2 linked regions of the Lytechinus pictus genome follow. The main gene of each other region encodes a partner of the protein of the gene in region 2 in a complex. Links are inferred from orthologs where the notes say so. Each region holds a gene or a part of one and is shown on either strand. Other genes may lie near its edges. The genes, in order: ribonuclease H2 subunit A-like and ribonuclease H2 subunit B-like.

Region 1 (16,775 bases), on a different chromosome or scaffold from region 2:
TGTGTGTGATTGACAACAAAATTCCTTAACAAAATAAAAGTAGACGGTGAATTTTTAAAGTAGACGGTGAAAAGGGGTAATTTTTCATGAGGAATCTGCTTATCACATTTTTATTTGCCGCCAAGGTAATCCTTTTGCAGCAAATGTAAACAAAGGAAATTGGACTCCAAAACTGGAGACTGTCTCTGAAATTGGATACCCAAATTCTTTACAAAAGTCTCTGATATTGGACATAATCTCCCACATTGGAGACAGTCTCCAAATATTGGCCGTGCGCCTCTAGTCTCTACTGTTTTAAGCGTGTATAATACACTATAAATAAAATCAATGAATCTTATCTTATCTTATTCATGAAAAGTGTTTGGTAATACAATCAACTACCATAGTTCATGACCATGCATACCATATCTATTCCGACTTTGCCTAAGCCAAAGGCTTAGGGCCAAGGCTTTAGTTAGTTTGGGCCTGAGGTCTGACTTAGCCTGGAGGCATCTGGGGAGTGAAAGACTTATACTGTACGTATGGTCACTCCCCTAACGCCTGGCACTGTGTCCTATACTATCCTACACACCGAGGGAAAATGCAACTATAGAAATGCGCTAAAGAGGTGGGCCGATAACATAAATAATAATACACTCGCTATACACATATAAACTTCACACCGGGAGAAAGCCTTACCTTATTCTTGTATTCTATCCAGGCACTCTTATAACAGGTCCGCTACGACCGGGGGTTGGGTATGGAATGATGAATGGCGTGTGTAGTGTGTGTGCTGGGTATGTGTGTTGTACAGCTGACTGGTCTTGTGTTTGTTCCTCCCGCCGATGGGTCATGTGATGTTGTGTGCTTAATTACTACTAATCCCCTAACACCATACTTCCCCCCACCCTAAAAAAATTGGGTGGCCCATTTTCTATATAACTTAGCATAACTTGACATACTTAACATAAGGTAACCCTAAACATAAAACCATAAAATATACATCAACGTACATTTGTTTTTCCTTTTTTTTTTTTGATCATATCTTTTTCTTTCCTTTTTTCGTATTCTTTGATCTTTTTTCTTTCTTTTCTTCTTTTGTTTTCTTTTTCTTTTCTCCTTCATTTTTTTTGTCTGTGATCTTTTTTCTTTTTCTTTTCTTCTGTAATCTTTTTATTTTCTTTTGAGATCTTTTTTTTTCTTTTCTTTGTGATCTTTTTTCTTTTCTTATTTTTTCTTATTTGTTCATGACATAGATATAACATAAATACATCAATATATACATTGTACATCACTATCAATCATAAAACATATTCTTACCTTGTCTCTGCCTTGTTTATGTATCTAAGTAAAAAAGTAAGCAAATATTTAAATCGATACATACATACATATATATATATTATTACTTATCTGATCTAATTTTCCAATTTCAACAAAAAGCATAACTCAATAAGAATTGTAAATCATAGGCGTCTATTTTCCGTATTACATATATAAAGCATAATAAACACATATAAAATACAACTTTTGTATATAAAATAAATAGCCTTACAATGAAGGTAAAAGACAGAGACAGGTGCGAGGGAGTAGCATTGCCCCATTATTTGAGGCAATAGAGCTCCCTTGCTTTAATCTGCCATAACCAGGATCGATACTGAATTCAAGATGGACACATTCCAAGGGGGCGCTCTCATGAAAACGTTTCATAGGATGCCTCCCAGAACGGGTCGCTTTCTTGTTTTACAAGTTGCACACCTGGCTATATGCAGATGAGTGTCTTCCGACATGCCGTATCGGTATATTACTGAGAGCTACCGATCCCAGCATGCCCTGCTGAAGGAGGATCATGACTAAGCTGGATGATGTAATGTCGTAGTGATTCAGAAATCATCATGACCTCACGCTCATCCTTCTCCATCAAGATGACTCCTTCTCTGTAATGGTAGAAGAGTTCCCTGTTTGTCCACAAAAAACTTTCCCTCTGGCGGGAGGAGAAACAGAGTCTCTTCAGCCGGCTCTTTCTTGTATGTTAACCACCTGCAGGGGGGCTCGAGGAATTGGTTCCGCATGATCTTGACTAAATCGTCAGAAGGCGGCTCCTCTGCCACCTCAGCTGGGTCAACTATTCGGATCTCAAATGAATTGGCTTTGTTGAAGGATGTTTCCATGCACATTACAGGAAAAGATTCAACAGCCTCATTTGGGACCCTTTGTCTTTGACTTAATGGCACATCTTTGTCTAATCAATCGACAAGGTGTACCAATCTATTTCTTTTTAAGTAGAAACCTTCTCAACTCCTGTTCCCCTGGGGCCAGCCCCTCAATAGAGCGGCTCCAGGGATCCAGAAGATGAAGAGTATAGACCTGATTCATGAGTATCCACAATGGGACATATTCTGAGGGTTCTACGTCAGGTCCTACAATCAAGACTTATAAGCCTTCCCAATCATATCACCTTGTTTTATGGATCTTCTCTTTGTATGATTGGTAGGTCTTCACCATTCATAGTTAAGATAGCATTTGGGATGCTAATATTGGCATTGTGTTTTCGTAACAAGTCAACGCCAAACAACATCTCATCTGCTATCGGAGCTACATAAATCTTCTCGCTGAGTATTTGGGCACCCAGCTTGATATTGATAGGCCCTACCACCATGCCGTCCATTGTCATGTCTCGGCCAGCCCCCTTAAGGATTACACGCTTAAGGATGGGCGGCCGAGGCTGGAGGCGTTTGAATAGCCTATCTGATATAATGGTGACAGCTGCCGCAGTGTCCAAAACAGATGTAATGGGCTCTTTGCCAACTGTCAACCCAACACTCAATGTTGAAGTAGACATAATTCTACAAATGACTACTTCAATATCTTGATCTTTAACCTCACCAGGAATGTCTGGTGGCCATGGTGGATTCCTCCAAGGAACACCTATTACCTCAGAGAATTTTGGGCTCCCTGGACTTGCTTGTGAGTCCGGTGCCCGTGAGCTACCATGGTCTTGTGGCATGAGGCTGTCCTTTAATGGAATGGAGATGGTGGGGATCTGTAATCGGATCGGGGATTCCCCATCTCCTCCGATCCCTGTCCATTTCCCTCCTCCTCGAAGGTGACAGCCCTAAGTTGTCTGTTCTGAGCAGGCGATCTCCCTCTGGGGCAGGCCCTACTGAAATGGCCTTCTTCCCCACAGTTGAAGCAGCCTGCGAAGTTTCGCTGCCGATCGGTTGGTGGAAGGCCCGAAGATGGTCTTCTGCCTCCTTCTGACCGATCCGGCGTTCTATTAGAGGTATACCTCGGCCTGTCTGATGTACCCGGAGCTCGGCCGGAGGTATATTTTGGTCTTTCAGGTGTGACAGGGGCACGGCCGGAGGAGTAACTCGGCTGGCCTCTTGACACCGACAAAAGTTCTTTAGTACTCCGAGACAGATCCGTGATTGCAGCAACCATCGAATCCATCTTGGAGGCCCACATTGCATTCTGAGCCTCCAGAGCACTGATTCTAGCCTCAAGGCTAGAATTTCCTTTGGTGGCAGCTTCCGGAGGAGACGACTCTTGTACCCTGAGGTCATTCTTATCTTCTCCTACAGAGAGCTGCCTTACTTCGTTTCTCAGCCTAGGGCCATGCTTCTGCATGGTCTTCTGGGTAAACTGAAACCATTTGTACTTGGTCATGGCTTCATCTAATGTCCCAGGCCGAGAAGTCAGGACATGATGCCCTGCATCTTTGTCTTGGGCACCTTGGCAGAACCTTGCCACTACAAGTTCTTGGACGAACTTGTCAGGTAGGCCTACGAAGGCCTGACCTGCAAGGGTCATAAGCCTATCTGCCCATTTGATGATGTCTTCATCCGAGCTTTGAAAAGCCGATTGAAATTGCATCCTAGTAACTTCCGGCTCCTCCTGGAGAGCGAACCGCTTCTCCAACTTGGTAACCAAGTCAGAGAAGGCGATATTTGGATTGCTCTCCTGGATGAGGGCCATGAACTTACTGGCTTCGGCCTCCAACGCCAGACACAGCTGATATTTCTTGTCTGCATCAGACATGCCATGTCTTTCGGTGTAAAGTTGGAACTTTGAATAGAAGGCCGCCCAACTTCCCTTGCCGTCGAACGAAATGGTCTTCGGCAAAGAGGTTGGTCTAGAAGGGGGCCTTCTGTCGTCATACTCTGGTACCACAGGTCTTGAGGCCGAAGTAAGTCTGGTGACGCGGGGCGGCTGATTTCTTATTGGCAGCCCCAAGTATCCAGGACTTGCTGATGGCCTTGTGGTGTTTCTATTTCCACTGTATACTGGGCCTCCATGTCCATCTCTTTGGGGTCCAGCGCCTTGATACACAGGGTTGCTACCCCCATGTTGCAAGTCACATGGTCCTTGGGGAGAGGTTTGCGGGGCCACAGTGTTAGGGTAGTGTGGCGGATATCTGCCTCCAGCCCATGGTGGGCAATACCCACCGTAGGCGGCAGCAGGGTTGCAGTATGGAGGAGCTGGTTGTCCAATTCCTCCGAATGGCATCATCTGCATCATCCTAAACATCACGCCATACATTTCATCATACTGTGCTTGCGAGAAGTTTGGAGCGGCCTGTGGAAAGCTATGTGGAGGTGTCTGGGTAGTTTGGTTGGTCATTGCTGGTCGGCCACCCTGAGTACCGGGAGCCTGACCATGCAAATCTACTTGGGCATGAGGACCAAATTGGAACTGGGGTCCTGCTGGGGTAGCTACCTGGGCACGAGGACCGCATTGGAACTGGGGTCCTGGTGGGGTAACTTGGTGGGGACCCTGCGGTGGGAACAGGCCATCGTTCCATCCTGAAAATTGATTTGCCCAGAGGGACTTAGCCCTATCTTCTGGAGAGGCCGAAGGCTGCTGAGTAAAAGCGCCACCTGGCCTCCCCCCTGTGAAAAATAAGGGGGCCTCCCCGTCCTGTGTCTGAGAAGACTGGCCTACAGCACCCCGAGTGCTATGTGCACGGGTGTGCTGTGGCCAAGCCTCAAACGCCTGGCTCACGGGGGGCTCCTTTGATGGAATTATTGGAACGCTCGTAGAAGGCTCGTCTCCTTCAGAGCGCACTTCTCTGCGGTCCACATTATGAGCCGTTGTTGTTGGCTCATAGTCAAAGGCGTAAACTAATAGTTCCGCCTTCGGTATGTGAGGTATTGACATGAATGTATCCGGAGTAAGGTCAGCCGCCTCCCTCGCGTGTAGAATGCGGTTGGCGGTGGCCATACCCACTCCGGGCAGACTCATCAATTCCTCAGACGAACAAAAGTTGATTTTGATTCTTGGAATGTTGCTCGCCATCTTGATGTAGAAATTAATCAGTAACAAAAATTAAATTCCAAAATTGAACTGTAATTAACCAAAAATTATCCTGAAGACTTTGTCTTGCGGATAAAATCAAAATAAATCTGGGACAAAATTAACTTTTTGAAAAAAAATGAAAAAGAATTAACAGAACTAACCTCACAATATCCTGAGAATGTAATCAAATTAAAATCCAGAGGCTACCTTGCCTAAAAAATAAAATTCCTAATTCTTAGGAGAGAAAAGAAAAAATGCAAACAATCGAACGCTCACTTGTTCAAAGAAAGATATGAAAAATATATAGAAATAATTTCAAATAAATAAATTCTTATTATTTATTTATTTTTTTTCTGTTTTTTGAACAAAAGTTAATATTTACAAGTACAATTTATCTAAATATATACAAAATTTATTTAATTATACAATTTATAATTAATTGATTGAATATGAATTTAATACAAATGTCAGCAGCACAGCTCACAGCATTCACTCAACGGCAGCACCAGCAACAAAATATATTATACAACAGCAGCAGCAACAATTCAATTACACAACGGCAGCAGCAATAAAACAACAAAATATTCAATACAGCAGCAGCAGCAACAATACAACAGCACAGCAACAGCAGCAAAATATTCAATACAGCAGCAGCAGCAACAACAAACTAATTAATACAAGACTGAATTTCCTTATCTCCTGAGACGCGTGACCAAAAATAATAAATTCCTAATAATTAACAGCAGCAGCAGCAGCAGCAGCAAATTTCTGGTGTTTTCTCCAAAAAACACCCAGAAATATATTTACTACAAAAAAATACTAACAGCAGCAGCAGCAGCAGCAGCAGCGCGGCGGTCAAAGGAGAAAAGCAAATTCAGGCTTGTAATAAAATAATCAACTCACAACATCAATAATATTCAGCAATCCATTCACACCACATCAGTAAACACAGTCAAACGCAATCAAAATTTCATCAAAGTTAATCACACTCGGTGGCCACAAAAATATATCCTAACGAGGGAAATTTTAAATATATGGTCAACAAAATGAGTGGATATTTACCCTAACAGTACAACGTATAATGTTTTGTCCAAAAAAATCCGATTAGCTCCTGTCGAGCTAGCCGCTGAATTCCTTCAAGGCCAGCACGGCAGTGCCGATCGGTAAAAAAATAGAGTATATTTACGGAACTAAAAATCAAACTTTTTCCACCAAAAAATTAAATCTCAAACTAAGATAATATGTTACTTTTTGTTTTATTTAATATTATGGACGAAACAGAGTCAAACAGCTCAAATTAATAAAAAGCCTAAAATTTTCAAGATGGCGGCGGCTTTTTTATATTCGGCCACGGCCAACGCAGATTCTGCAACGGCGTTGGCTGTGGCGAAGTAAAGAAAATGTTTTGCCGAAAATACAATAAAAATCGCTTTAATCCTCGTCGCCAGTAAAGAGGTGGGCCGATAACATAAATAATAATACACTCGCTATACACATATAAACTTCACACCGGGAGAAAGCCTTACCTTATTCTTGTATTCTATCCAGGCACTCTTATAACAGGTCCGCTACGACCGGGGGTTGGGTATGGAATGATGAATGGCGTGTGTAGTGTGTGTGCTGGGTATGTGTGTTGTACAGCTGACTGGTCTTGTGTTTGTTCCTCCCGCCGATGGGTCATGTGATGTTGTGTGCTTAATTACTACTAATCCCCTAACACCTAAAACCAAACTGCTAGTTATGTTTAGATTCTAGCTTTAAAACTTATGTACATGGGTAAAAATATTGGTTGGCAACGTTTGGCAAAAAATAAGTGTTGATGGATTTGAAATGACAAATAAATTAATATGAATAAGAAAAGTAGAAGAGAGTTCACTTACACTTGTTGACATCGCCATCTTTGAATCCTTTTAATTGCAACCTAGTTACGTGACGCGTATAGAGGGCGGCAAAATCATGAGCGGTGCTAGATTAAAAAGTGCTAAAATGTCCCGCTTCAACCACTGAACTAGAAATACATAGAGAAAACATATTGCATTTTGCCTTCTACGGCGCGGCGCGTTCTCGAACAATTGACCTAGCAAAATGGCGGCGGTCATGTGACTTATCGAGTTCGCCAGCGATGTTTTGCTTAGGTGTACACGGCTTCCACGTATTTCTAGTTCAGTGGTTGAAGCGGGACATTTTAGCACTTTTTAATCTAGCACCGCTCATGATTTTGCCGCCCTCTATACGCGTCACGTAACTAGGTTGCAATTAAAAGGATTCAAAGATGGCGATGTCAACAAGTGTAAGTGAACTCTCTTCTACTTTTCTTATTCATATTAATTTATTCGTCATTTCAAATCCATCAACACTTATTTTTTGCCAAACGTTGCCAACCAATATTTTTACCCATGTACATAAGTTTTAATTTTAAAGCTAGAATCTAAACATAACTAGCAGTTTGGCGCATTTCTATAGTTGCATTTTCCCTCGGTGTGTAGGATAGTATAGGACACAGTGCCAGGCGTTAGGGGAGTGACCATACGTACAGTATAAGTCTTTCACTCCCCAGACGCCTCCAGGCTAGTCTGACTGTCACTGAGCAGCCGTGTGAGGTTAGCGCCAGTCTACCGGCCTGGGCCGGGGTAAGTGCGCCGTGGCGTACCGTAGGGTACTTACCAAGCACGGGACCTCTGCCAGCTTCGTCGATTCCAAAACAACAAGGCTCATCTTTGCAAATCTGGGGTATTTCAGATTGAATAAAGGCATTTCCACTATTGTTCTTATCAAACTCCGTCAGATCTATAACAGCAGCTGTATCTTGACTCTCCATAGGAATTTCGGAAGTGTCGTTTTGTTCCTCCATAATTACTCAATTATTTAACTTTGCCGCGCGCTTTAGCTCTGCTCTAGCTCTGTTTCCGGTTTGAAAAAGTCAATGCACTTTGCATTGATGAGGGATAGGTGGTAAGTGGGGAGGGATATGGGGAGGGGAGATATTTCACCTTTGGATTAAGCTGATTTAAGTGAATAGAAAAATAACAATGATGACATTTTTAAAACATGCAGAAAAAACATATAACATAAAAAGCGAGTTTGTCAATTTCATCCGGGCCCGGCATCCGGGTTCAGGTTTTAAAAAATACATTGCATGATTTTATTCGAATTTATGAGGGTGGGTTGGGAAGGAGGGGACCTCAAGGACAAAGATTTATTTTATAATTTTTTTGCGTGTGGGATGTGTGCGGGTGTGTTTATTTTCTTTTTTCTTTTGTATCATATTATTTCAGTGAATTGGAAAATGAATAGTTCATGAAGTACTTACTGGTACCTTGCCCGGTATTATTCGTGAAGTTATTATGATGTATCATAAATTTTAGGAAGTTATGAAACTTATGAAGTCAGTTTATGTTTGTATTCAATGGAAGAAGCAATAAAAGAATACTTTAAAACAAAAATCTGCTTCCCAGTGTGATAATTTGTCCATATTTTGTTTGTACTATTGTGAAGCAAAGTACATGTACAAATCATAAGGGCGCCATCTTGTGAAAATTCTATTCATTGCTGAAAAATCTCGACGAACGCATCATTTATTTACTTATCCCTTCAGAATGGTCACTGATTTGCAGAGGGATGGGCTTTTTTTTTGGGGGGGGGGGGTCTCATATTGATTTTTTAAATGAATAAAAGAAAACTAGTTTTTGAGTAAAAAAAAAACCACCAAAAAACGCAAACATTCTGCACAAAGTGGAGTGTGTCAAAAATTAATCTTTACAAAAATTATATAGTGATAAAAAATCTTTGTATATCAAACAAAATACTTTGTTGCAAACTCCAAAAGACAAATAAAAAAAAACATAAAATTAAACAAAGGGTGATAAACAAAATAATCTCAAAATCGCAATATTCTTTTCCTCAGACTAAAAAGTGTTTTCTGACGGTATTTTGTTGTATAAAATCATGTTTAGACATAAATGCAACAAGGTGTTTGAGGGGGAGGGTAAGCCAACCATAGAGATGTATACTAATTAGTATACATCTAATTAGTATATATCTCTATGAAGCCAACCTGAATATGAAGTACGTCATTCAAATTGAGTAACATGCAGGGGCAACAAGGACTTATACGACCAAGCTCTCTTTTTCTTACATTTCTTCATCTTTTCTTTTCTTTTTTTTTTTTGTTCGCCTTTTTAATCACTACTTGAAAAATCACACACCTACCCTTTAAGAGTGCCACTCCTTTTTCAAAGCATATTAATAATGAACTGAACCTTTGGTTAGGTAAAAAAAATGCATTGATTTTTAAAGTGCGAGAGAGCGAAACGACGGGGGCGCAAATAGATCTTAATCATTATAATTTTCTGGGAGGTGTTTCATCAATATTTGTCGTATATAGGACAACTTGTCGTATATAGGACAGGAGGTCATAATCTGACGACTGTCTTTGCATTATGACATGTGTCCGATTGTTACTATGGTAACTGCCAGATAACGACAAAGCACACACATTTATTTTTAAATAAAATTCAGTGAGCTCATCATGCTCGTTCGTCTGACTTAGGTTGAAATATTTTTTAACCTCTAAAAATAGCACTTGGGAAAAGGTTATTGTTTTACTTCAAGTGAAAATTGTCAAGTTTTTCTTACCATGGTTCATGATTTGCATTTTGCAGTTATTTTACATGAATATAACAAGTACTTCATATTTTTATTTATCACAAGGCAATTTCAAATGATTTCAAAAGATGGCTATGATGTATATTGTTCTGAATATTTACATTTATCTAAAAATTCCACCAAAATATTCTTTGATAAACGTTAGTCATTGAATATATCTCTAGAAATCCCATAAAAATAGGTGACATGCACAGAAAAGAAATATCACCATTGAATAACAAGGGAAATGAGAAAAAATTAGTTAGTCTATACCTATCATTATAATCAATGTTATTGATATTATCACAATTTTCTTTAAATTTTTGTCACTCATTCATTGTCACTTTTTGATATTTTGTATAGTGATTTTAGATTGTCTCCCGTCACCCTTAATTGTATACTAACTTGTAATTGTTTGTACGTTTTCAAACTAAGTTACAGGGGCTTGCCTCCCCTAATTAGCATGGCTTATTTTTGGCAAGCCCCTCCATTCTTTTTCTTTTACTGAATAAGTTCACCTCAGTTCCCGCTTTCATTTCTATTCTTTAATGTACTATCACGATAGATAATACTTTACTCTGTGACATTGAGTGATTTTAATATTAAAAAACGTTAATTTTTGCTCATTTCTATTTGTTCCGTTCATATTCACACCCCATAATGCAAGTCAGACAACAGAATAGCCAATCTATCTATCTATCTATATATATATCCATCCATCCATCCATCCATCCATCCATCCATCCATCCATCCATCCATCCATCCATCCATCCATCCATCCATCCATCCATCCATCCATCCATCCATCCATCCATCCATCCATCCATCCATCCATCCATCCATCCATCTATCTATCTATCTATCTATCTATCTATCTATCTATCTATCTATCTATCTATCTATCTATCTATCTATCTATCTATCTATCTATCTATCTATCTATCTATCTATATATCTATCTATCTATCTATCTATCTATCTATCTATCTATCTATCTGTCTGTCTGTCTGTCTGCCTCCAATAAGGGTATGTTTCACGACATAGGCCTATCTTTTGGATACATTTTCCTTGATTCTTTTTTGTGTTTTATTCTAAACGGACTTTCTAGACTGAATCTTACAGCGGAAACCGTGATATAGTATTTAAAAATAATTTATTTCAAAGCAGCGGGGAATAATAATCAAACTGTGACGGATCCAGCTAGGGGCACATCCGACCAGTAACCCCCCCCCCCTCTCCTTGAGAGACATAAACATATTTTTTAGGGGAATATGTCGTGCAAACGCAAGTGAGGACCTTTTTTATTTTAATCTTATTTTGTGTTTTTTTTTTGCTTGTCAACTTTTTCCTGGAACAAAATGACCTCCATTTTGTAGTGAAAACCTCCTTTTTTTGTTCATTTTTTTCCTGACATAAATAATCATTGATTAGAAGTAAAGATTTTTTTCTTTTTTTTGGAGGGGGGGGGGGGGGAGGGTGGGGTTGTTCATAACGAAATCCTATATCTGCCCCTGTAATCAAAGTATTGTTATTATTATTTTACACAAAGATGGATTGGGATATGTGAAATAAGCAAGACTATAACTGTCTATACAACATTAAATACTCATTTTTAGTCAAGTTTATCCATTATTGCTTTTTGTTAACTTCTCGAATATTGTCAGTGATTTTGCTAAAAAATATATGAAAAATTAGATTTCTCAATGTAGGAAACAAATTCTTTTTATTTTGGGATTTAGTTACAATATGGCACTTAATGAGCTATATGTTTTTTCTGTTGTTTCCCAGTATCAACAAGTTTCTGCTTTTGATTGATCGAAAAATTAATCATGATTTTTTTTTTGCATAAAATAATGTATGCGAGTTTGTGCGCGGAATCCAAGTAGCACTAAAATATATATTTTATAGGCATAACTGCATCAGACTGAAATAGCCTAGTACAAAAGAACAAAAATAAGGTTATTGATATGTGTATATAGGTATCAAAGAGAATCACTTCCTCCCCCCCCCCCCCGCCTCCCTCCTCCCCCCTCCACCGAGTCCCGCCCTGGCATATCTCTGCATGCCCTTTGGTTCTGTACCAATATCTTAGTGGTGGTGGTTGTGGTGGTGCTGGTGCATGGCCTCATTATTTCGCTTTATCTTAATCAAAATTACTTTTGCATTGAATCTATCGATCTGTCACCAATAAGTTTGGCTATTTTACATTTTGGGGGCTGAATTTCGCCTGTACTTACAGACTGTTGTCATGAATTTTAACGTTAGGGCTTGTTCGATGTGATGATCAGCGGTAATTCCTCTAAATATATAAAATTGTTACATTGCACAATGCACATATCAAAACCCCGGATAAAAAAAACATGATTTAGACTCGGCTGAGAAAAAATACGAATCGTCGACTATCCCTTTAAATTTTTAACTAGTCTTTATACCCAGTTGTTTGTTACTCAAAAATACTTTAAGATGCTGCAGTATGTACGAGTACTACTGATCCATAAATACATACGACTTGAAAGCAACTAAGCAATTATGTCGGCTTCGGGTAGAGTCCTCCTGTAAAACAGTGGTGTTCTTTTGAGAGAAACAAGCATGATTATCGAGTTTCAGAACTGTTTTCTTAGGCGAGAGGAATGTATATCCATTGACATTGACACTTATTATTGGTAAGTTGCATTTTGGTGTCGATTTTTCCCGAATTGATGTCGAAAATACGTTACAAATGAGCCCGTACATTTTCGTGAGTCTATGCGCTCTCTGCATTTTTGCATGCAATTTGTACACGGCTTCTGAAGGCGAAGGGCACCGCTCGACACAGGCCCATGTCACGTCCGTGCTGCTGTTGTACGCGGTATAGTCGGCTTGATGCTGACTCGCCTACCCGGCCGAAGCCTGCGGCTTGTTTGGAGTTGGTCGTTCGCCACGTCTGTACTCGATTCGACAGCCAAAAACTTTGTATTTACATTACATTGCCTGTGTCTTAAAATTGTGGAGTCTACACTGCAGTGCAGACTGCAGTGTCATTGTGCATGCCTGGTGTGGTGTAGTTCGAGTTTAATTAAAATTCATGAACTCTCCAGGCATAGACCAGGCCAGGACAGGTCCAGACTGATCTTTCCAAGCCAGGTCTGTCAGTGTCACGTCTGTCTCTTGTGTCGGCGTGTCGCCCATCTTAGTTTATGATATGCGTATGCTGGATATTTCTGCAGTTTACGATAAATAAATAAAATTTGTTAAATGGCTTTTAAATAAATTTCATGAGATATCACATATTCAATATTATATATCGCTAATCAGAATCGCAATGCATTATGGCCTGGGATTGCAAAGCCAAAGGAGGCCGTTAGCTAGGTCTGCGGACTGTCCGCTAGTGCGTGTGTGCAACGGCCCCCTTTTCAATCCCATAATGCATTGCAGTTCTGATTAACGATAAACCTTAATCTTATTTCATAAACAAAGATGTTGTTTACTTACTAACTTAGTTAATTGGTCGAATAAAATGTGTTTGCAGGTAATTTATTGAAAATGCGTCTCACATGGCGCATAATAATAAATGGGCGATACGAAAGACAGTTCTTGCAAAGACCCTTTCATGCAATCAGTCCCTGAATGACTCCAGCCAGCGTCATGGAACTCCTCTAATGTTACTTTTGTTAGAGCCATAGATAGAGGTCAAGGACATAGTGTGACAATCCATAATTTTTTACTGAAACGTTTTGAAAGAAAACTGATGTAAAACAAAATTTTGTGTTATTATTTATGTCAAATCTTTTCTTCATAACAATATCTGGAAGCATGTTCCATCTGATCAAATCTTGATTCTGCGACCCCTTTTTTTCAATGAAAAAAATTGAATGGATCCATTCTGTCCAATGCAAGGCCTGGATGCTGTTTTGAAGAATTTTCTTCTTTGTTTGTAAGAGGCTACCCCAAGCACAGTATTCAACCTTGAAAATAGCAATTGGCATTACCATCCTAGTATCAAGTATATCCCCTGGGCTGTTATGAATGTTCATACAGGCAGTTTTATGATTGTCAAGATTGACTTTTACTTCATGTCTCATTAACCAAATTAGTAAGAATCTGTGACTATGGCAGAGCTACATGTAATTCGTCTTCTTTGAATACAAAGGAATCAAACACAAGAATACATGTGCTGTATGATGTGGCCAATGTAAGATTTGTCAATAATGAATCTCCGTGCTGACTTTGCCCTTTTTTGCATTGTAGGCCTACCATTGTTTCAAACTCCTATTAAAAGTCGAAGACAAGAAATGTACATGTATGTATGTAGTTGTTGTTTTTGTCACAATGGCAGTGCTTTATTCAGTTAGCTAGTTGTAAAGTGTACATGTAAATTGTATTTTATTTTTTCATATTTCAAGCAGAGCTTGTGTAGTGATTGGCAAACCTGCGTGACTGCCAATCTAAAATTGAAAATAGATTTACAATGTAAGTAATTCTTGTCATGGGTAAATATATTTAGGCAGGGCGTGACAAAACCACTTGCCCGCTTGCCCGGGGCAAGTGAAAATGACGTGCGGGCAAGCATTTCTCAAAGTCAATTGCCCGATTGGGCAAGTGGTTGTTTTGAAAATGAAAACGATATTACAGTAAATTTCAATAATTTTTCGATAAATTGCAATTATCGGCCAAATATCTCTCATACAAAATGTCATACCAGTCAAAAAAACAGTGGAAACATGTCAAATCAGCGCCAATTTACCGACAATTTATCGCCAACGGTCCTGTTCGATGGGGGCTGCCATCTTACTTTCTAAACTTTACTGTGCGCATGCGCTACTAATTGACGAAGGAGCTAGCTGGGGAAACCCCTCTCTTGCCCTCTTAGCGCATGCTCTACATCGGCGCTACAGTACATGTACGTACGTACACGAGCGATCGCGAGCCAGCTGACTCTCGAGCTATATCGCGCTGAATGCATGCAAGCTTCGGACTGACTCGGCCAGGACTCGGCTTCAACTTCAAACCAAATTAACAATGAGTCGTCAGACTAAAAAATGGGCGACTTTTGTCGTCGCGATCGGCGACCAGAACAACTTGAACAAGAGTCAAGAAAATGAAATGCAGAGGCCAGCGCCAGGAAATCAAGTGAAGTAATGTGAATAATGATTGATTATAATTGACAAATTATTTGCGATTCCTATGTAACAAGTATGAAATTTTCAATTACATGAAGTACTGAAAAATCTGAGCCAATATTGCATGTTTCAGCAAGACACTTAAATTACCGGTAGTACATTCATCAGGCCTCAAGTTTGTCAAATAAGGAGTGCGCCATGTTAACCTTTATTTGATTTTCATATCTGGTAATTTAATTTCTGATGTTCTATCATTTACTGACTGTAGAACAAATTGATGAGCTCCACAAGGGAGTGATGTGACCAGTATGTAAACATCATTTGTTGTGTCAGATATCATCAAGTGTAATGGCCTTACATGTATATTTGCCTACATGTACCTGCCGTAAAACACATTTTGGTAACCATGGATATAAACTGTATTTCTCTCCCCACTTGAGCCATTGTTTTGTGTTTGTCATTTGGTTCTGTTCTGGTAATTATAATTTTTAAAGTTGTGTTTAAGATGAGTTGATCGCTGAAAGGGACATTTGAACATCACATGCCACATGGACAAATGTAGGTTACATCTTGTAGAAAACTGCAGGTAAAGGCCAAGTCCACCTATGAATAATTGCTTTGAACTAATAGAGATAATTAGCACTGAAAATTTCCATTAGAATTGTGTTTTTGTGTGTGTGTGTGATTGAGTTTTTACAGACCACACATCATTCACAAATGATTATTTACCCCAGGGACCGACCTGTGATGTTACCATCCGAAAGACATGACCTAGGCCCGAATCTTTGATCACTCCTTTGCATCAATTTATATCTTCTTCATTTAGCTTCTTACATAATGTACTCGGATTACAGGTGCATGCCACAATGCCCAGATAGATTGGCTGTAAAGTAATGTAAGAAATTACATGGTATCTTCAAATATCACTTACATAATGTCCATAAATCCTGGAGGGAACTGATGTCACACATTTTTGTATTCAATATGAAATATGAAAAATTCAATGTCAAAGTTTTTTGACATTGAAAGAGGATCTCCACTCGGTCAAAGTAAGTTTTACATTATTGAAGGATCACTCTTTTGTGCAAGTGAAGTGAGTGCAACATACCATGATATTCTCATTTCGCAATTTGATTTGCAATTTTGCATGTTCTTTTCAGTATAATCCTTGTTTTAGAGCTTTGTATTTTTATCAAATTCAACTTTTTGTTTGGGGTTAACTAAGACCCTTGTTACAACAGAAAATTGCTGGCCCAGGGCCTGCCATGGGTAGGATAGAAAAAAGATGTAAACACGTCCAACCAACTTTTATAGACACCCTTTTCGTGAACCTACTCAAAACCACCTCCAGAGGTAGGCTTGGGCTTGACTCGGGGCAGGCCACTGCCCACTGGCCACTGATTCGTAGATCTATGTAAATGCAAACCTACTTCAAACCTGTCTTTGTCCACTTGCACATTGCAGTAGTTTGCAGCACAGACCCCAGTTGGGGTGAATGTTATTTCAGTAAGAGGAGAATTAGGATTATGAAGTGTACTGTAGCTACTACATATTTATTGTCCAAACTATTGACACAAATTGTCTGCATTTTGCAGTCCTTGAGTTTATAAAAATTTAGATTACATGTAGTGTCTGTGCCTTCATACTTAATATATGAAGTGGTCACGAATTTGAAACTGACTTCAGAATCGACATAAATTCCTTTGACCGATTGGGGGGAATGAATATAGGGTTACCGGTATTCACACTGGCAGTGA
Region 2 (16,775 bases):
TGCATGTAGAACCAATCAGAAACTTTTTTTATTCATACATTTAAGCATTGCATCGTGCATGTTTCACAGAATAATTGACATGCTTCGTCTGGGAAAATTTTGAACTTTTGTATTGATGAATTGTGCTGGTGATTTCATATGCTCACTATTCCCATTGTAAACCAAGTCTTAATACTGGATCTCCTACATGTACATTCCGCATTATGGGAGGGCTAAACGGGAAAAGAGGCCGAGTGGGATTTCTTCTGAAAGACATGACCAAAGAAAGATAACAATATTCCTTTAGACATCTTAACAGAAGAAGTCAATGTTCACATTTCATTATTTTCACAGCAGCTTCAGACAATGAGTAGGATTCCAGCTGGAAAAACTTTCAAATAAGTGCCTTATTAAAAGGAAAACTTACCTGTTTAATTTGATCTTGAAGAGCGGATGGATTGTCATAGCAAAAATAGCTCCCTGATAAGAAAACAAATACGGTAGATAAAAATGGAAATTGAGCACCGGTATCTAGTATTTTCAGGTGATTAATTTAAATAGTTTCTTCTAAAAAACATGTAAAAATGTATTTGTGACTAAGTATTACAAAACCAGTAAAATATATTCAGAAATTCATCATTACATTTTATTTGATGATAAATATTCTTAAGAGATTTTCAGATTTGAATGATGTACGATATACAGCAAATTACAATAAAGATGATCCTTACATGTAGGCCCTAATGGTTTTTACAGAAAGAATTTTGACCAGCTACCCTATAAAAATAAGTGATTGAAATTTGCCAGTATATTGAAAGCTATCTTTCCCAATATTTAATTCAAATACATGTAAATGCACATGTGACAGAAAGAGGATTCAAATTCAATTAAATTTTTATGGTGAGATATAAACCAAAAGATCCTAATGAACAAATGTGTACACTAAATAAATTCTTACACAGTAAGTAGAAACTAGGCATTATTGGTTAAAATTAATGAGATATGATACATGAAACCAAATAGCTATTAATCACCTCAATGAGTAACTACTACATAAATAGAAAAAGCAATAAATCATAATGTCAGGTTCAAAACCAATTCACACTTCAAAGGGTGAAACCATTTCTTGAACACGCCCCATTTGTGTAACATCGCCCAAATCTAATGAGAGCACACTTATGGTATAAACATGGTCATAGCTTTGAAAATATTCACCATATCCATACAAAGTATACTTTTTTGAAAAAGTATTCCAAAAATGGCATTTAAAATGAGGTAGGATGAACTGCTCACATTTTATGAGCGAAAATGTTCAATTTTTTAGCACCCCAAATGTACTTTATTTCAGACATCCATATTTGTTTTCTCTTTGCCCATACCATTAATTAGTTACGGTATCAGATTTGTATTGCCCATAAAATTCCCTTTCATATGATATATATCTTAAGGGGATTCAATTATTTCATCAAGGTAATTTTGATATGCAAATTTATGTTAATTTCAAATATCAAATACAGACATTTTTAATCAGTTTTTACCTTAAAATCATAATTAACTACCATAATTATTGTGTGATGTGTGCGGAGGTGTATTATAATATCTGTTATATTTAGCTGTAATCTGAGACCAAAATCAAAGGTCTCGCCCCTTGGAAACCAAAATTACACATGTTTAATACTAGCAATACACAATACCATAGAGTTGCATGTAATGTGTACTGCTTCCACTATCCCTCAAGAACCCATTTTAGTCATTATATCGAGCAAAATGACTCAAATTGATATGCATATAAACTTATACTATCACTCTTTATACAGCTTATACTCAGCTTTCAAATGACACCAATTTCATAATAATACATCTTCAATCAGCCGAAAAAAATCACATCATAAATTGTTCCTATGCGAGAATTTTTTGTGCTTTTTATGTAAGGAATTTTGGGGTTTTCTTAACTATTAATCGCTAATTACAATTAATTGAAAACAGTGTTAGATTATTATAAGTTTACTCACTTCAAGTTTTGAAATGAGATCAAAATTAAGTCTCTACTCCCCCTGTATACTAAAGTTATTCATGTTAAAAAAATGTGGCCATAGTGTATATACATGTATGTGGGCAGTCATAATTGCTTCCATGATCAATCTATGAAAAAACTACAGAAATTCTTCAAAGTTCTCACACACCATTTATGTAGGATTGTTAATTTGTCATTTACCTATTTTGTTTATTTCCTTTGACTTGTGTTTTCTTCAGGTGTTTTACATTTCTGTTCTGTCTAGACTTTAGTTCATTTGCATTTCTTTTCAGTACTGCCCTTGCAGTCTGGACTTAGGTTATTTGAGTTTAATGATATTCAGTTGTCATTCATTCATTCTACTCTGAATGCCTTTCCTGTGTTTCTCTTGTCATCTTCATTCCTTCTCTATTCTCTCTTCAGGTGTTCCACTCATTCCATCCCTCACCTGACTCCTTAGTTTCTACTTCCATTATTACATAATCACCAGACATCTTTGTCATCTCATCTCATTCCTTATTGGTTTATCTTATGAATTGGGTTCTTACATTTTAGTTCGATCCTTCCATTTTCTTTAGTTTGATTGGTTGCTATTTCTAATTTAAATATTTATGTAAATTATTCTGTGATCCAAAGTTAAGCTGAGGCAAAATAGCCCAGATATTAAAAAGTGTACAACCAGACTCCTTCGGTTTAAGTTCTCTTCATTTTGCGTCTGTTTCACTTATTCCCCCTTCAGCATGATTGATTGAGTTTGATTTAGAACTTCATTTATTTTCTACCTCCAAACATATAATTTTCTCAACCTTACAACTGGTAGCAGCGGTGTTTCGAACCTTATGCCTCGCTTATCTGTTCGCCACAAACTTTCAATCATATTTCGTCAACTTTATCGTCCTCATGTTCCTGTTGGAGAAACATTTAGCCCTTCATACATGTACTTCAGTTCAGCCGTTACTTCTTGCCTGATTGATGCTAGCCAGCAGCTCGCCTACAACTTCAACGTCAATGCTGTGGCTTGTCTAGTAGGATGATGCTACTACCAGCCAGTCTTCGCCTTTAGCTCTATACGTGAGTGGGTGAAAGCCTTGCCTGAGTACCAGCTCGGATCTTCGCCTATTGCTCTTCGTGAGTGGATGAACGTTCTGCCTGATTACCAGCCAACCTTCGCCTTTTTCTCAACGTGAGTAGATGAAAGTTCTGCCTGCGAGTCAGCCTCTTGCCTTTAACTACAACCATTGCCCGACTACATGGAGTGGATGATGTCGCTGCCTATGTTTCTTCATTCAGTCTCTTCGGGCTCAACAGTCTCCCACCTTTGCCTCATGATGCTTTCCAGCCTCTCGCCTTGCTTCTCTTCGTCGAGTGGATGATGCTGCATTTTGGTCTTCATGTTGCTTTGTCCCTCTATCTTCGCTCGATGCACGACTCCTTCCAGCCTCTCGCCTGTTACTCTGTCGCCTACGCATCTAGAGTTGATGACGCTCTGCTTTGATCTTCGAAGCCAGCCGCCACCTTTTGCTCTTCAGTTGCTCCAGCCCATGAGTGGATGATGCTGTTCCCCTGGTCTTCATACATACAGTGAAAACTTTTCGCCCCCTAAGAAGGTCCGATATTCAACAACTTGATCTTGATGTCTCCATTTTACCACCAGACTACATTCTTCTCTCAAACTCAAACTTTATTTGGAACTTTTGGACAATTTATTTCCCTGATGGTGAGAACACTAACAAATCTCTAAATCTGAAAATAATGTGAACTAAGTGCAATATATGAAATCGTAAAACTAAAGATTATGACAACTAAATTTTTGAAATATTTTATTTGTATACCTTAATGCTCAAAACTATTTCAATTTTAATCACTGTATATTTATTAAAGTTTTATCAATTATATTGCACAAAGTCAGACTTAGTTCAATGTTCAATTTAAATCATTTCTTATTTTTTACTATTGAAGTTTCATCATTGTAATTTTACAAATTATACAAAATAAGTCTTTTTTATTTGTATTACTCAGTAATTTCTTTTTCCAACATTCAGTTAAAATTCCTAGATTTTTGATACCCCTAGTTTAATGTCTTTTTTAAAGTAAAGTCAAAGATTTTCACAGATATACTTTGTCATATAATTTCAGAAAATATGGCTTTATATAAATTCAAATGTTTGATTTTTCATAATTTCTGGTAATTAAGTTATTTGCTGAACGTCATATGTTAAATTTTTGTAAAGTTCAGTAGTATTTTGTCTTGCACTTTTCAATGTTCAATATTCCTTTGAGCTACCATAATTGTTTTTATCTATTTGTCTAGTGGTGCTCTCATAAGTTTTTCATTTTTTTTGTAAGTCCAGGAGATACATTTTTCCAGTTGGCAAGACATGCATAAATTTAACAAAAACAAATCTTTAATAATTTGAAAAAAATGTATATATATATTCAAGATTATAACATTTTTTTTTCTTTTCGGAAATCAAGACAAAAATTTTCAGTTTTTTGTTTTTTTCTAATTGATACGGTATTTAATTTCATGGCATGCAAGTATAAGATATACATTGAAATTATTTGCATGTTCATTTTCCACTGAAGTTACTCATATGATGCCAAAAAGGAAAAGTTCAAAATTCTGATAAAATATATATATTTTTTTTTTATTTTTCCATCCTCTCCTGGTCTTCACATTTATTATAAAATTGAATTATGTCATGGTTACGTTACTTCTTTTTAAATTCTTTTATGTAAATAATGTTAGATGTTCAACTTGTCAAATTCTGGTTTTGCAGCTTTATTTTATATATAATTTTACTTTTTGAAAATTGAGGACAATTTTTTGGAAGGAGAAAGTTTATGTAGGATTGTTAATTTGTCATTTACCTATTTTGTTTATTTCCTTTGACTTGTGTTTTCTTCAGGTGTTTTACATTTCTGTTCTGTCTAGACTTTAGTTCATTTGCATTTCTTTTCAGTACTGCCCTTGCAGTCTGGACTTAGGTTATTTGAGTTTAATGATATTCAGTTGTCATTCATTCATTCTACTCTGAATGCCTTTCCTGTGTTTCTCTTGTCATCTTCATTCCTTCTCTATTCTCTCTTCAGGTGTTCCACTCATTCCATCCCTCACCTGACTCCTTAGTTTCTACTTCCATTATTACATAATCACCAGACATCTTTGTCATCTCATCTCATTCCTTATTGGTTTATCTTATGAATTGGGTTCTTACATTTTAGTTCGATCCTTCCATTTTCTTTAGTTTGATTGGTTGCTATTTCTAATTTAAATATTTATGTAAATTATTCTGTGATCCAAAGTTAAGCTGAGGCAAAATAGCCCAGATATTAAAAAGTGTACAACCAGACTCCTTCGGTTTAAGTTCTCTTCATTTTGCGTCTGTTTCACTTATTCCCCCTTCAGCATGATTGATTGAGTTTGATTTAGAACTTCATTTATTTTCTACCTCCAAACATATAATTTTCTCAACCTTACAATAGTTTTAGTGGACAAAAATATTCTTATATAGACCAAATATGCAGCTTTTCTATTAAAAACATGAATGAAGAGATTTGTGATGTGAATGAATTAAATTTTTGATACCACATTCACAATACCTAAGAAATTGAGAGAATTAAGACTTGGAAATTTGTAAGATTAAAAAAATGTCAACTAAAATCCTTTCATCAATTCAAAGGTCAATTCTGGCCTCTGGGATCAATTCACAAAAATGGTGACGAACCAACATTTATTACCCAACACATGAACATGTTGTCTTGTCTTGTAAATACTGCACTTGAACACCTCAAAGAGGCTATAGACGTGCAGGCCATTCATGCAATCGCTGCCGCTATATACTTCTTTTAGTTAGCATGTTTTTGCTCAGCTGTTTCTTATGCATGTTTATACCTTTATACCTTTATACCGCATCTACTGGAAAAATACAGTTGTTCCTGCAGTCAAGTTTCCAGGTCTATCTTGTTGTCTTCCTATCTTGTTGTCTTCCTAGCTTGTTGTCTTCCTAGCTTGGATAAGTTCGAAAACTTTATGACTCAATCCAAAATATAGGCCTAAGCTGAATCAATCAATCTTTCTTTACCCATCATTATTCAGATAAAAAATGCATTTTGATGTTAAAAATTGGAATGTTTTTGTCATGTCAATGGTCTGATCACTCACCAACTCCTAGTCCTAGGCTAAAGAAAGGTTTTCAATTGTCTGGACGGTGATTGGAATTTTCTATGACAACAGTTGCGTTTTAAAACCATAAGTGATTTTTCTTATAAATATAGTTCCTTTAAAAAATCATAGGATTTGACGATAATCATTTTGTCAAAACATTACTGTTTTTTTTCCAAGTATTATTTTTCATGATTTTATCCATTCTATATAGAGTGGAGGCAGGATGCAGGAAATGGTTTTCCAAACCTTGTTTAAGATCGACTACAAGTACAAGTCTACATGCAATTATTTTTTTAATGTGCCATTGACACAAACAGTGCAGTGCCAGGCAACTCTTAGAGTTGGAGAGTAGGCTAACCTCACCTTAGGCTTAGTCTAGAGAATTGTTTAGTTTTACTCTCCAACTCCAGCAGAGTCCAGCACCAGGCTCTAATAATTAGCTCCTTAACTTCTTTAAAAAAAAACAACGTTAAACTTAAACTACAATGTAAGTTGACGGAATATCAGTTAAGACTTTCTCAGCTCATTTTAATGACAGTCACCCTAGAATGAAGATAAAGATATATTGCCTCAGTCTATCCTTACCAAAACTTAAGAAACAAATAAAAATAAGAATGAGGTATCTATGCAGGGCCCGTCTCGGATCACAACAAACTGTGGCTCCACAGCCTGAGAGTTCCACATCCTCATCATCATCCTGAATTTGATTCCTGTCCGGTCGTCCACTCAGCAGCGGTGCATTTTCATCATGATTCTGATCGTTGTTTTCCATCCTTACTTGATCCTGAACGAAGATTTTTAGTTTATTAGTGGACAAAAGTCAAAAGTTTTGAGTTTCCTTTTCAGCTAGCCGCGGATAGCATCTTCAAACTTCACAACATCAGTCGAGTCGGCTCATAGCTTAATGCAAATTGGACACAAATGCAAAGATATACCACAAAAGCAGCCGAGGCGAGGGGTCGTCACGTGAAATAACAACCGTGACAATATATTTTCAGCAATATTGGGGTTATCTATGCTAACTTTGGAAAGTAATAGAAACAAATGTATTCATATCATTCTTTGTTATATAATCCTATTCCGTAAATACAAATTATAATGCAGTCCCTGGCATTCATAAAATCTTGTGATTTTTATTTTTAACAGCTCTCGTAACTTTGGAAATTCAACAACGATTGATGACATGACTAAAACTTTTATTTGAAATCCAATCATTAACCTGGAATTGAGGTTCAACGAAAAGTTAGAAACGGCGCGCCACATTTGCTCGACCCGCGATCGCGAACGAGGAGTTGACAAAAACTTGAAAAAGTTAGTTCTTTTTGCAGAAATAAATCTCAGTTAAGGTTAGATTAATAAATCATGGCACCAAAGTCAAAGAAACAGAAAGGAAAGGGGAGTACCAAATGTGATAGGGATCAGTGGGTGTGTATTACTCCAGGTAAGAGTGAAATTTCAACTTTGTTCTGTCATAATCAGATAATTTCATGATGCTTAGTCCCACATGCTTGTAATTGTGTCATGACACTGACTAAAAGAGTTTCTGAATGATCCTGACGTCGACGCGAAGCTGAAGCCGATGATGACGAAGACAAAAGGAGGGAAGAGAAGAAAAAGAAGGAGAAAGAGGGAGGAGACGAGAGTAAAACATTGTCATTGACAGACTAGGTCTAGGAGGTGGAGAGTCATGCATATTACTGAAGAAAACATTGTCAATGTCATTCACTCATTCAGTCATTGTCATTCTCAATCTGACGTCAGTCATTGTTTTGACTTTGTTTGACTTTTTTTTTTTTAAGGGAGGAATTCTGGAAAATGAATAGTATAATGGTGGCCTTCAAGTCTTCGCACCTAACAATTTGAGTTAAGATTTAACATGAATTACTTTTTCTTTCACAAAATCTTTCAGTTAATAATGTTCCTTATAATATTAAGTGTACCAAATATCTCATAAAAATTTGAAAGAAATATAGGATTTTCTTGGAAAAAAACCTCAGGCTGTCATTTTCAGATTGAAAATGGTACCCCATGTCTTGGCACCCATTCACTTTGCACACGATTCGGGGAATTTGATGAGAAAGGCTGCATTTTGAGGCCGTCACATGAAATGCCCAAACTTCATTATTTTTCCACCATTTTGAGTCAGATTTTTTAATGAATATCTGTCTATGTATTGCATGGGTAAAGTCTGTGTTCTTTGCGTATCTTCTTTTACTAGAATCGCGCAGATACGCATGTGCGCAGACAAGGGGGACTGCGCAGACTGGGGGGAACTTTCCATAGATCTAGGCCTAGACTAGTGAGTAGAAGACGCTTGGTGCAGAAGAAAGTGAGGTCGGATGGGGGAGAAGAAAAAGAAGTCTCCAATTCAGGAAATATCTCCCATTATTGGAGACTGGGTATACAAAAGGAAATACACTGTAGAATCTAATTAAAAAAACACGCGCATCATATGCATCTGAAAATAATTTCAAACGCTTAAAACTTTGCGACATCTTTCCAAAGGGAACTTGAATTTTTAAAATGATGAAAAATGGTCAAAAATGCATTTTTAAAGTCTCTATATTCTCAGAATAGCCCATCAGTGCTTTTGTTGTTTTATCAAAGTTCTCATAGAAAACACACTTTCGGTAATGCGATACCATTTTCAAGTGACCAAAATATTTCACATGCGAAGAGGGGTCCGATGGGAAGCTGATATTGTAAAAAATAACAATGATTTCGGCAAAATTTTTACAGGTTTATATTTTGTAGGTATTTTTGTATTTATGGTAAAAGTTTGGTGAATTTTATGAGAATAATATATTTGATATGATTAAATTCATGAAAAGTGTCTGGTAATACAATCCACTACCATACATCACTAGAGGCACATGGCCAATATTGGAGACTGTCTCCCGAGAGAGAGATTATCTCCAATATCAGAGACTTTTGTAAAGAATTGGGCTATCCATTTTCAGAGACAGTCTCCAGTTTGGGAGACCAATTTCCTTTGTTTACATTTGCTTCAAAAGGATTTCCTTGGCGGCAAATAAAAATGTGATAAGCAGATTCCTCATGAAAAATTACCTCTTTTCACCGTCTACTTTTGTTTTGATAAGGATTTTTGTTGTCATCCACACACAAAACAAATGGGCTTCTGACCTTAGTGAGACAAAATTTTGGGTGGAAAAAATTATGCTTTTGTTGGTGTTGTTTCTTTTGTTCTTTTGCAAAGCAAGTCTCTAATATGGGAGATTATCTCCCACATTGGAGTCTCCCATATTGGCTGTACATGTATCAATCAATCTGATAGGATAATTTAAGTCTGGGAACAACATTTAACGTCACCATCTGAAAGACCCGACCAGAGCTCAAATCTGTCAATTTTTAATGGATTACAGGCACATATCAAAGTGGTCAGTTATCTTCTTTTTTTTTAAATGTAGTCTTGCCGTGAAGCCAAGATCTTGGGCCTGTTGCATAAAACTTTTGCCATAAAAAACTCTGGCAAACAAAATTACACAATTGACACTTAACACAAAAACTTTCAATATGCAACAGGCCCCCATTTTCTGTTTTTACTTTTGTGTAGTTTTATGTCTAATTGGAAATGCCAAGATTTTCAATATGACATCCCTATGTTTCTGTTTCATTGATATATCATACATGTATTTAATTTTAAATAATCAAATTGCTGTGATAGTATACTGAAAAACCTCTCACACAAACTAATGATTTGGTGTTTTTTTTACCTTCCCTTTCCATTCTTTCAGAATCTTCACTTGATAGTATTGATGGTTGCCCAGATCCAACTTTTGTAAAGCTGAGGCACCCTAAGACAGGTATAAAAATTAAATTGTATATATTTAATACCTTTTTATTTATCATGTATTTTTTTTTCTTTCCTAAAGCATGTTTTCATTGACAAGTTCCTGTGATGAAGCAGAATTCCTGCAATTTCATTGGTCAAGAGCAAATTTGTCATGAATTTCTGTGACTTTGTATTGTTGCAGACTTTTACGAGCAAACATTTTTTTTAAATCGCAAAAATAAACAAGGGAATTCTGAATATATAAGGGAAAACACTTCAAACAATCATATTTTATAGGGAAATGGTCATCATTATGCACCATTAAGTTGATATACGCACCACTGCCTTTATATTTAACATCTGGTGCTACACCATATTATGCCTGATCATCGAACTGTTAAATATTTCCATTCAAGCAGAGAGATCCATTTATTTTCATATGAATTTTTGTATTATTCTTGCTTGTTTGTATTAGTCTTGGTAGTTTTCTCCCAGAATAATTAAAGTCTGATTGGTTAATATTAAAGATAAACAATGTTTATTTATGTTGTCTTGATTTTAATATTTAAAGTAAAGGGTCTGTATTAATCAAACTTAGATTTTTGGTAGATCCTTATTCACTGTTGTATTATCTGTCTGGTAGTATACAGTGAGTCAAAAGTGCATTAGTGACCACCTCTCTAAAGCAGCCACCTGCCTTTTTTAGTGACTTCTAAAACAAATTTTCTTGGGGGCAATTTTTGTGTTTAAGAACCTGTCTATAGCAGTCAAGTGCATATGTGTTTCCCTAGGATGGTTACTATAGACAGTTTTCATGTACTTATTATGTACTATGTAAATATTGGTATTATATGGTGGTGAATGTGGAATATAAATGAAATAATAATAAATAAAATTTTTAAAATCAAATAAGATCTTAAAAATAGCATGGACAAGCAGTTCTAGGCATTCTCAGCACCGATTATGAAATGGCTTTATAATGTTTTTTCCACCTGCAGAGAATGGAGCGATGTTTCTATTCAGCAGTGACGGAACGGGTGTTTATGAGGTGATGAGATTCAAACGAGACTTTGGATCATGGTTCATTAATGATTCAGTCCAACAAGGTGAAGTATTTCAAGAATGATGATTCAATCCTAAGTGTATTGATTACAGGTGTTAACTTGAGAGCCTCAAGCCCAAGGGCCGGTTTCATAAAAAATAATTAATTTGCAATAATAGTTTAAAGCTACTGATTCAATCCATCAATTTGATTGGCTGAAAGTAAACCTGTTAAATGGTGCATTTATTATTGTGACAAATCTTTATAAAACAGGACCCAAGAACCTGTTACATAAATCTTAGCAATTGATTCTACTAGGCCCGTTTTGAAAGTCCATTTTTGATGCACGTGTACACGGCGTGTTTTTCGGTCGTGTACACGTTGTAAACACTCTGAGAGCGAGTTGTTTTCATGTCGACACGGACCTGCATCAACATGTCATTAAAAAGGGGGTCTATATAGCCTAAGTCACGGTTTTAAAGCTTACCAGAGAAGTTTGAAGTATCAATCCACAAAAATTGGTGCAAATTAAAAGTTTACTCAGCTTAGCAGCGCATTAAATTAATAAAGAATGCAAAAGAAAATCAGTGCAGGGCCCTGCTAGCGCCGACGCTCGTTGGATGCGCATTTTGTATACTGTACCGTACGTGCATGCACAGATCGCTGCAGAATTAAGTGTAACTGAAGTTATCGATTGATTTTCATTATTTTGTTGCCAATTTGAGGAGCGTTTGTTTGTAGGCTTGTAGCACATGTGTACGAGCGTATAACACGTAAGTTGTCGCAATGATCGCTGTTGCAATTGGTGATTCTCAAATTGGCTATGAGTGTGATTGAGCAACACTTTCGAGACCGGAGGCGGAGCAGACCCATTTCGTGGTACAAAAACTTGAGTCTCCAGAATGTATGTGGATTAAATCGGCGATTTTGGAAGTGAACTCACTCTAGATTAATTGAAATATATTGACATATTAGTAATTAGAATATGTGCAGTGTCTGAGAACTATGATTTAATGTGAGGCTGTGAGCTTGTTCACTGATTTTGTAGTCCCATGCAAGCTTTATGCAGATGCTACCGTGTACACGGTGATGGAATTTAGTACACGTGCACTGACTTGACCGTGCGTGTACACGTGTACACGTGTACCCGAAACGGGCCTAGATTCTACATGTATAGTTGAATTGTATAATTGATTCTGCATAGCTATTAAATAGCTTTGTGTGAAAAGCTTTGCATTAGTTCAGTAATTATATTTGCATCCGTATGATTTCTTTTGTTCTCTTTTTCTTTCCTGTAATACATATATGTACGCATATCAGAATAAGTCTACTATACTTTTTTCATTTCCAAGGGGGATCCACACTTAACAAGCTTTGCTTTTTAGTGGATCCCCCTCATTTCCATTTATGCTCTATATTATACTGTTTTTTTCTGGGTTTTTTTACGAAGTAAGAATGCCCTTCTGTAAAATTGTACTTGATTTGTATTACTTTATATTACTTTGTATTATGTTGTGAATGGAAATGAAATAAAAAGAATTGAAAAAAAAAAGAATTGAATTAATGAAATCAAACATGAAAGTCATCTTTGAGATCAATCACTTAGCTTTGTGTATTAGATCCAGGGCCCAGTTGCAGAAAGAGTTGCATTTAAATACAACTTAAAAGAAATCAATCCCAATTACAGACTTGCGATTGGTTGGAATTCAAGCTGCATTTGATTTTGTAAGTTTTGTTTGATTGCATCTCTTTTTGCTCAGGATGCTGATATAAATTGCAAAGCATACAGGTACTAGTTTGACGATTGGAATAATAAAATATATCCACTTTTCAAATTTAGTTCAAGATTTAATAATGTTTTATAGTGTTTAAGCTCACCCCTTTCAAATGATTGAACTTTCAAGTGCTCATTTTATTTTTTGTCTCCAATGCAGGTACTTATTGCAGTGTACACTAGAAAATATGCTAATTTTCAAGCTTTTTATTTCAATTGTGTTTGTTTGTTTTTTGACAGATGGATCATTAGAAGTCATAACTCCTGTTGACCCGGTATTTTTAGCTCTGCCATACTTGGTGAAATCAAATCAAGAGGTTTGTCATATTTCAATCTTAGACCTATTTTTAGTCTCTCATTTTATTAAAAAAATTATTCCCAATGCCAGTTGCGGATAGTGGGTGAGGGGTAGGAAAATCTTGAGACTTTTTTTCTTGTCAAATTCCTGTAGATGCCTTTGAATGGATGAATCGGTTCTCAGGGCCTAAATTTAAAAATAATGTCCCTTTCATATAAGTTTTTGACGATTTGGAAATCAGCGCCTTGTGGGCAGTTGGATGTGATATTGCTATTTTAAGTGTTGGGAGGTTCTGACCAGTGCAAACCTGCGTTGTAACAAAGACCATTTCAGGGAACTTAAAGGAAAAACAAACCAGCAGCACTACCTCAACTACTCAAACTGAGCTGTGTAGTCTTGTTATGTAGGCCCACTTGAAAGATGCTATTTCACTATTCAGTACTTTACTTTCATACCACGGTATTTATGTTGCCAAGTAGCAAAACAAGTACATTTCCTCTCAAAAATGATTTAGTTTCTCTATGCAAATAAAGTTATAAGCTAATTTATTCACTTTATTTGTAATAATTTTCTCAAAAGGTGTATTTTAAGACAAGTAATTTATTTATAACACACAGTCAATGAAAAACTATAAATAGTGTTGGCCAGTTTGCTCCCGCTTTAAATGAAATGTATCGGGCCAAGAGATGTTAGTTTTGTTTGTTTATAGTTGCTTACAAGAGTTTGACCATTTCTTCCCTTGTTCTGCAGAGGAATAAATACATGACCTTAGACCAGATTGTCCTTGATGATGATTACCCACAATGCATCAAGTTGCTGCATTGCTCTGGCATGTCCAACATAGAAAGAGTAGCGGAGGTCAAAGGTTAGTATGACTTCGAGTTATTTTAAGCAAAAGTAATGAACTGGCAAAAATAGTAATTATTGTATCTTTTGGGATTTCATGTAGGCTACACACAGGTAATTAATTTAATTGTGAATGTGATGTAGGGGAGAAATAAACCCTCCATTTGCTACTATACCCAAAATTACTAAAGTGCCTTTATTTTTCTTCAAATTCTGATAGTCATATATTGCCTGGAAGTTAAAAAGCTATCATCATCATTTTCATCACCATCATCATTGTCATTAGCATAGTCACCATTATCAGCATCATTATCATCAGTGGGCAATATAATACATTTTTACCATGCAAAAAAGTTTACACAAACATGACCAGCTTATTGAAAAAACACTCATATTCCAACTCATCTTAAATTTGAGCCAATTAGACGTGTATTCTGTCATTTTTATTCAGGAAGTGGTGATGTGAGAGCCTTCCGATACGACAAATCCAAGACACTGGATTGGTTGAAGGACAAAGTGGAGCAGACAGCAGCACGCCTAGGACAGACAGATATACACGTCACAAGTGGAGCACAGTCAACAACGTTTGTACGTAGCAGCAAAGAGCAAGGTGCAACAGGAGGTGAGTCAAGAGATGCCGGGGTCCCATCTTACAAAGAGTTACGATTGATCCGATCAACCACAATTATGGAAAGCCAGCAAATGCATGTTTATTCAAAATGTTTTCTACATGATGATGTACAATCATACATTCATTGTAGTTTAGACAATTCAGTTTGCTCCTCTCTGTTTACAAAGGACATTGCGCAAATTTCCTGTAGAAAAAATTATGACAATTATGTATTTCCATATAATTGAGGTTGATCGGATCAATCGTAACTCTTTAAAAGGCGGGACCCAAATCTTAAAGCCAATCCAAACCAACAGCCTTAAATGGCGCCATCTCAAGTCTTCAAATACTAATATCTAGCCAGGTTCATAACCCACAATGCAACATTCTGAGCAGTGTAATTTTATGACATAGGTCCAATGGAATGGTAGCGAAATGATATAATACTCAATACATTTATATCGCAATAACTAGGTTACTGAGTATCAAGATAAGTACATTTCCTCTCAAAACATAAGTTTCTCGTTACCAATAAATTTGGAGGCTAATTTATTCTCTGTGTTATTAATATATTATCTCAAAACATATATCTTAAGAATAGTTATTTATAACACTTATTGAGATTCATCCCACAGACCAGCTTTAAAGTGTATTTTAGGTTTGTGTGCTGTGCCAATGTGAACATGATTCTAACACCAATAGCCTAACACCAAACTTTAAGTCATCCAGAGTCATTTCTATTTTCTTTACAGAGGATTACCAGAGATATGCTGCAGGCCTAGTCTCTGATTACCTTTCTCCAGACCTGAGTAAACAACTGTTTCAACACATAGGGTAAGCATCTCCTTTCTATGCCCTTCTCTTAGTTTTCCAATTTAAACCAACCTATAAAAAGGGGGACTAGAAATAATCATAGCATTTGCAAAATGTTCTCTGGTCAACCTGTTTTTTTATATACATGTATAGGGTATATATATAAATACATATATATATATATATATATATATATATATATATATATATATATACATGTATAGGGTATATATATATTTTTAGTATTGCCTAAGCAGGAATATAGATTGAATTAAAGATTAACTTGTTTTTATGCCTTCCATCCAACGTAGATGATTGCCCTTCTTGTTCTCAATCTCGCCATAAGTAAAGAACTTTTGATGGATCAATTTTAAATTTGGTCCAAGAGTATATCTTGATCTGATTATTTCAGAAGTTATCAAGGTCAAAGCGGTTATCATCTACTTTGAAATATCTTGTTTATGTAATAACTGAATAACCCTTTGTGGGATCAACTTAACTGGTTCATGTAGACATATGTGAGTGAGGATGATCTTATTAGATTTGGGGGGTCATAAGGTCAAAGGTCACAGAGGTCATTTGACAATTTTAAAAGTTGTGTGCCTAATATGGTATTGGTCTGGCAATAGTAAAGGCATAGATTTGACTTTTGGAGAGAATCCGTCTATTTTGTTTTATTCTTTTCTTTTTCAGAATTAAAGAGGTATCTGAGAAAGTAGCCAAGGTGATTGAGAATGGTGCAGAACCTCCTATGAAGGTAAGAAAATTCACAAGGCAACGTGTCTATCAAAGGCAGCTTACTATGGTGTAATTGTAGAATATGTTTTTAGGGCAATTTGACTTTTCAAGAGGGCATTTTTTTCCATATTAAAGGGTATAATACATTATATATCCAGGGCCATTGAAAGGAAAATTGAGGCCGATCAATTGGGCATCCAAGGTCATTGCCATCAACAGAGCTGCCGTTTTTGCAACCAAATTTTGGCATTACATTTCTCTTCATAAGATACAATTTTTTATTTTAAAAATAAAGGAAATGTATATATTTGTTAATAGAAAATTGTCTCCTAGTGAAAAATATATATATATTATGTCTTTATTTCGTGAAACTTACTCAAAGAGTCTCAAGTTTAGGTGATTGGATGAATGTAGTTTCAGGTAAGTAGACCAAAGGTCATTTATGTGTCAATATTTCAAAACAGGATCACTGAATACGGGTTCTCATTCAGAAAGGTTGGCAGGTCCTGTTTTAAGGGTCTTGTTGAGATTTTTTCCCCCTTGGAAATTCCTTTTGGGGGGCCTATTATGATTCCTTTTTTCACAAGATTTGCAGGTCTGCTTCAATGGCTTTAGATTAATTTAAGCCCTGGGGCAAATCCATGAAATAATAAAATGTGTTGTACTTCCAACCCCCACAATGATAAGGATAAGGATAAAT

Evidence for each region.
Region 1: the proteins of ribonuclease H2 subunit B-like (region 2) and ribonuclease H2 subunit A-like are in contact, whole or in part, in a crystal structure (PDB 3PUF), measured with the Homo sapiens proteins. The link is inferred for Lytechinus pictus from reciprocal best matches to the Homo sapiens genes RNASEH2B and RNASEH2A. Residues at the interface, in NP_078846.2 of Homo sapiens: His16, Phe18, Lys39, Asn42, Gly48, Ala49, Ile50, Val63, Lys64, Val65, Phe66, Lys67, His70, Phe74, Val79, His86, Phe87, Val183, Tyr211, Gly214, Leu215, Asp218, Tyr219; in NP_006388.2 of Homo sapiens: Val227, Phe228, Ile253, Trp254, Glu255, Ser284, His285, Tyr287, Phe288, Arg291, Gly292, Leu293, Glu294, Ser295, Ala296, Thr297, Ser298, Leu299.

Annotation. Positions count from the first base shown.
Region 1 is NC_087256.1:17,236,205-17,252,979, forward strand, and holds the start of ribonuclease H2 subunit A-like, read right to left. Parts: upstream 8,177-16,775; 5' UTR 8,126-8,176; coding exon 7,939-8,125; intron 1-7,938. UniProt on the Homo sapiens protein: Catalytic subunit of RNase HII, an endonuclease that specifically degrades the RNA of RNA:DNA hybrids. Participates in DNA replication, possibly by mediating the removal of lagging-strand Okazaki fragment RNA primers during DNA replication.
Region 2 is NC_087260.1:28,502,976-28,519,750, forward strand, and holds the start of ribonuclease H2 subunit B-like, read left to right. Parts: upstream 1-7,406; 5' UTR 7,407-7,523; coding exon 7,524-7,602; intron 7,603-9,916; coding exon 9,917-9,985; intron 9,986-10,952; coding exon 10,953-11,060; intron 11,061-13,010; coding exon 13,011-13,087; intron 13,088-13,818; coding exon 13,819-13,933; intron 13,934-14,365; coding exon 14,366-14,536; intron 14,537-15,276; coding exon 15,277-15,358; intron 15,359-16,030; coding exon 16,031-16,094; intron 16,095-16,775. Other genes in the region: major facilitator superfamily domain-containing protein 1-like, read right to left, coding at 407-459, 6,747-6,933. UniProt on the Homo sapiens protein: Non catalytic subunit of RNase H2, an endonuclease that specifically degrades the RNA of RNA:DNA hybrids. Participates in DNA replication, possibly by mediating the removal of lagging-strand Okazaki fragment RNA primers during DNA replication.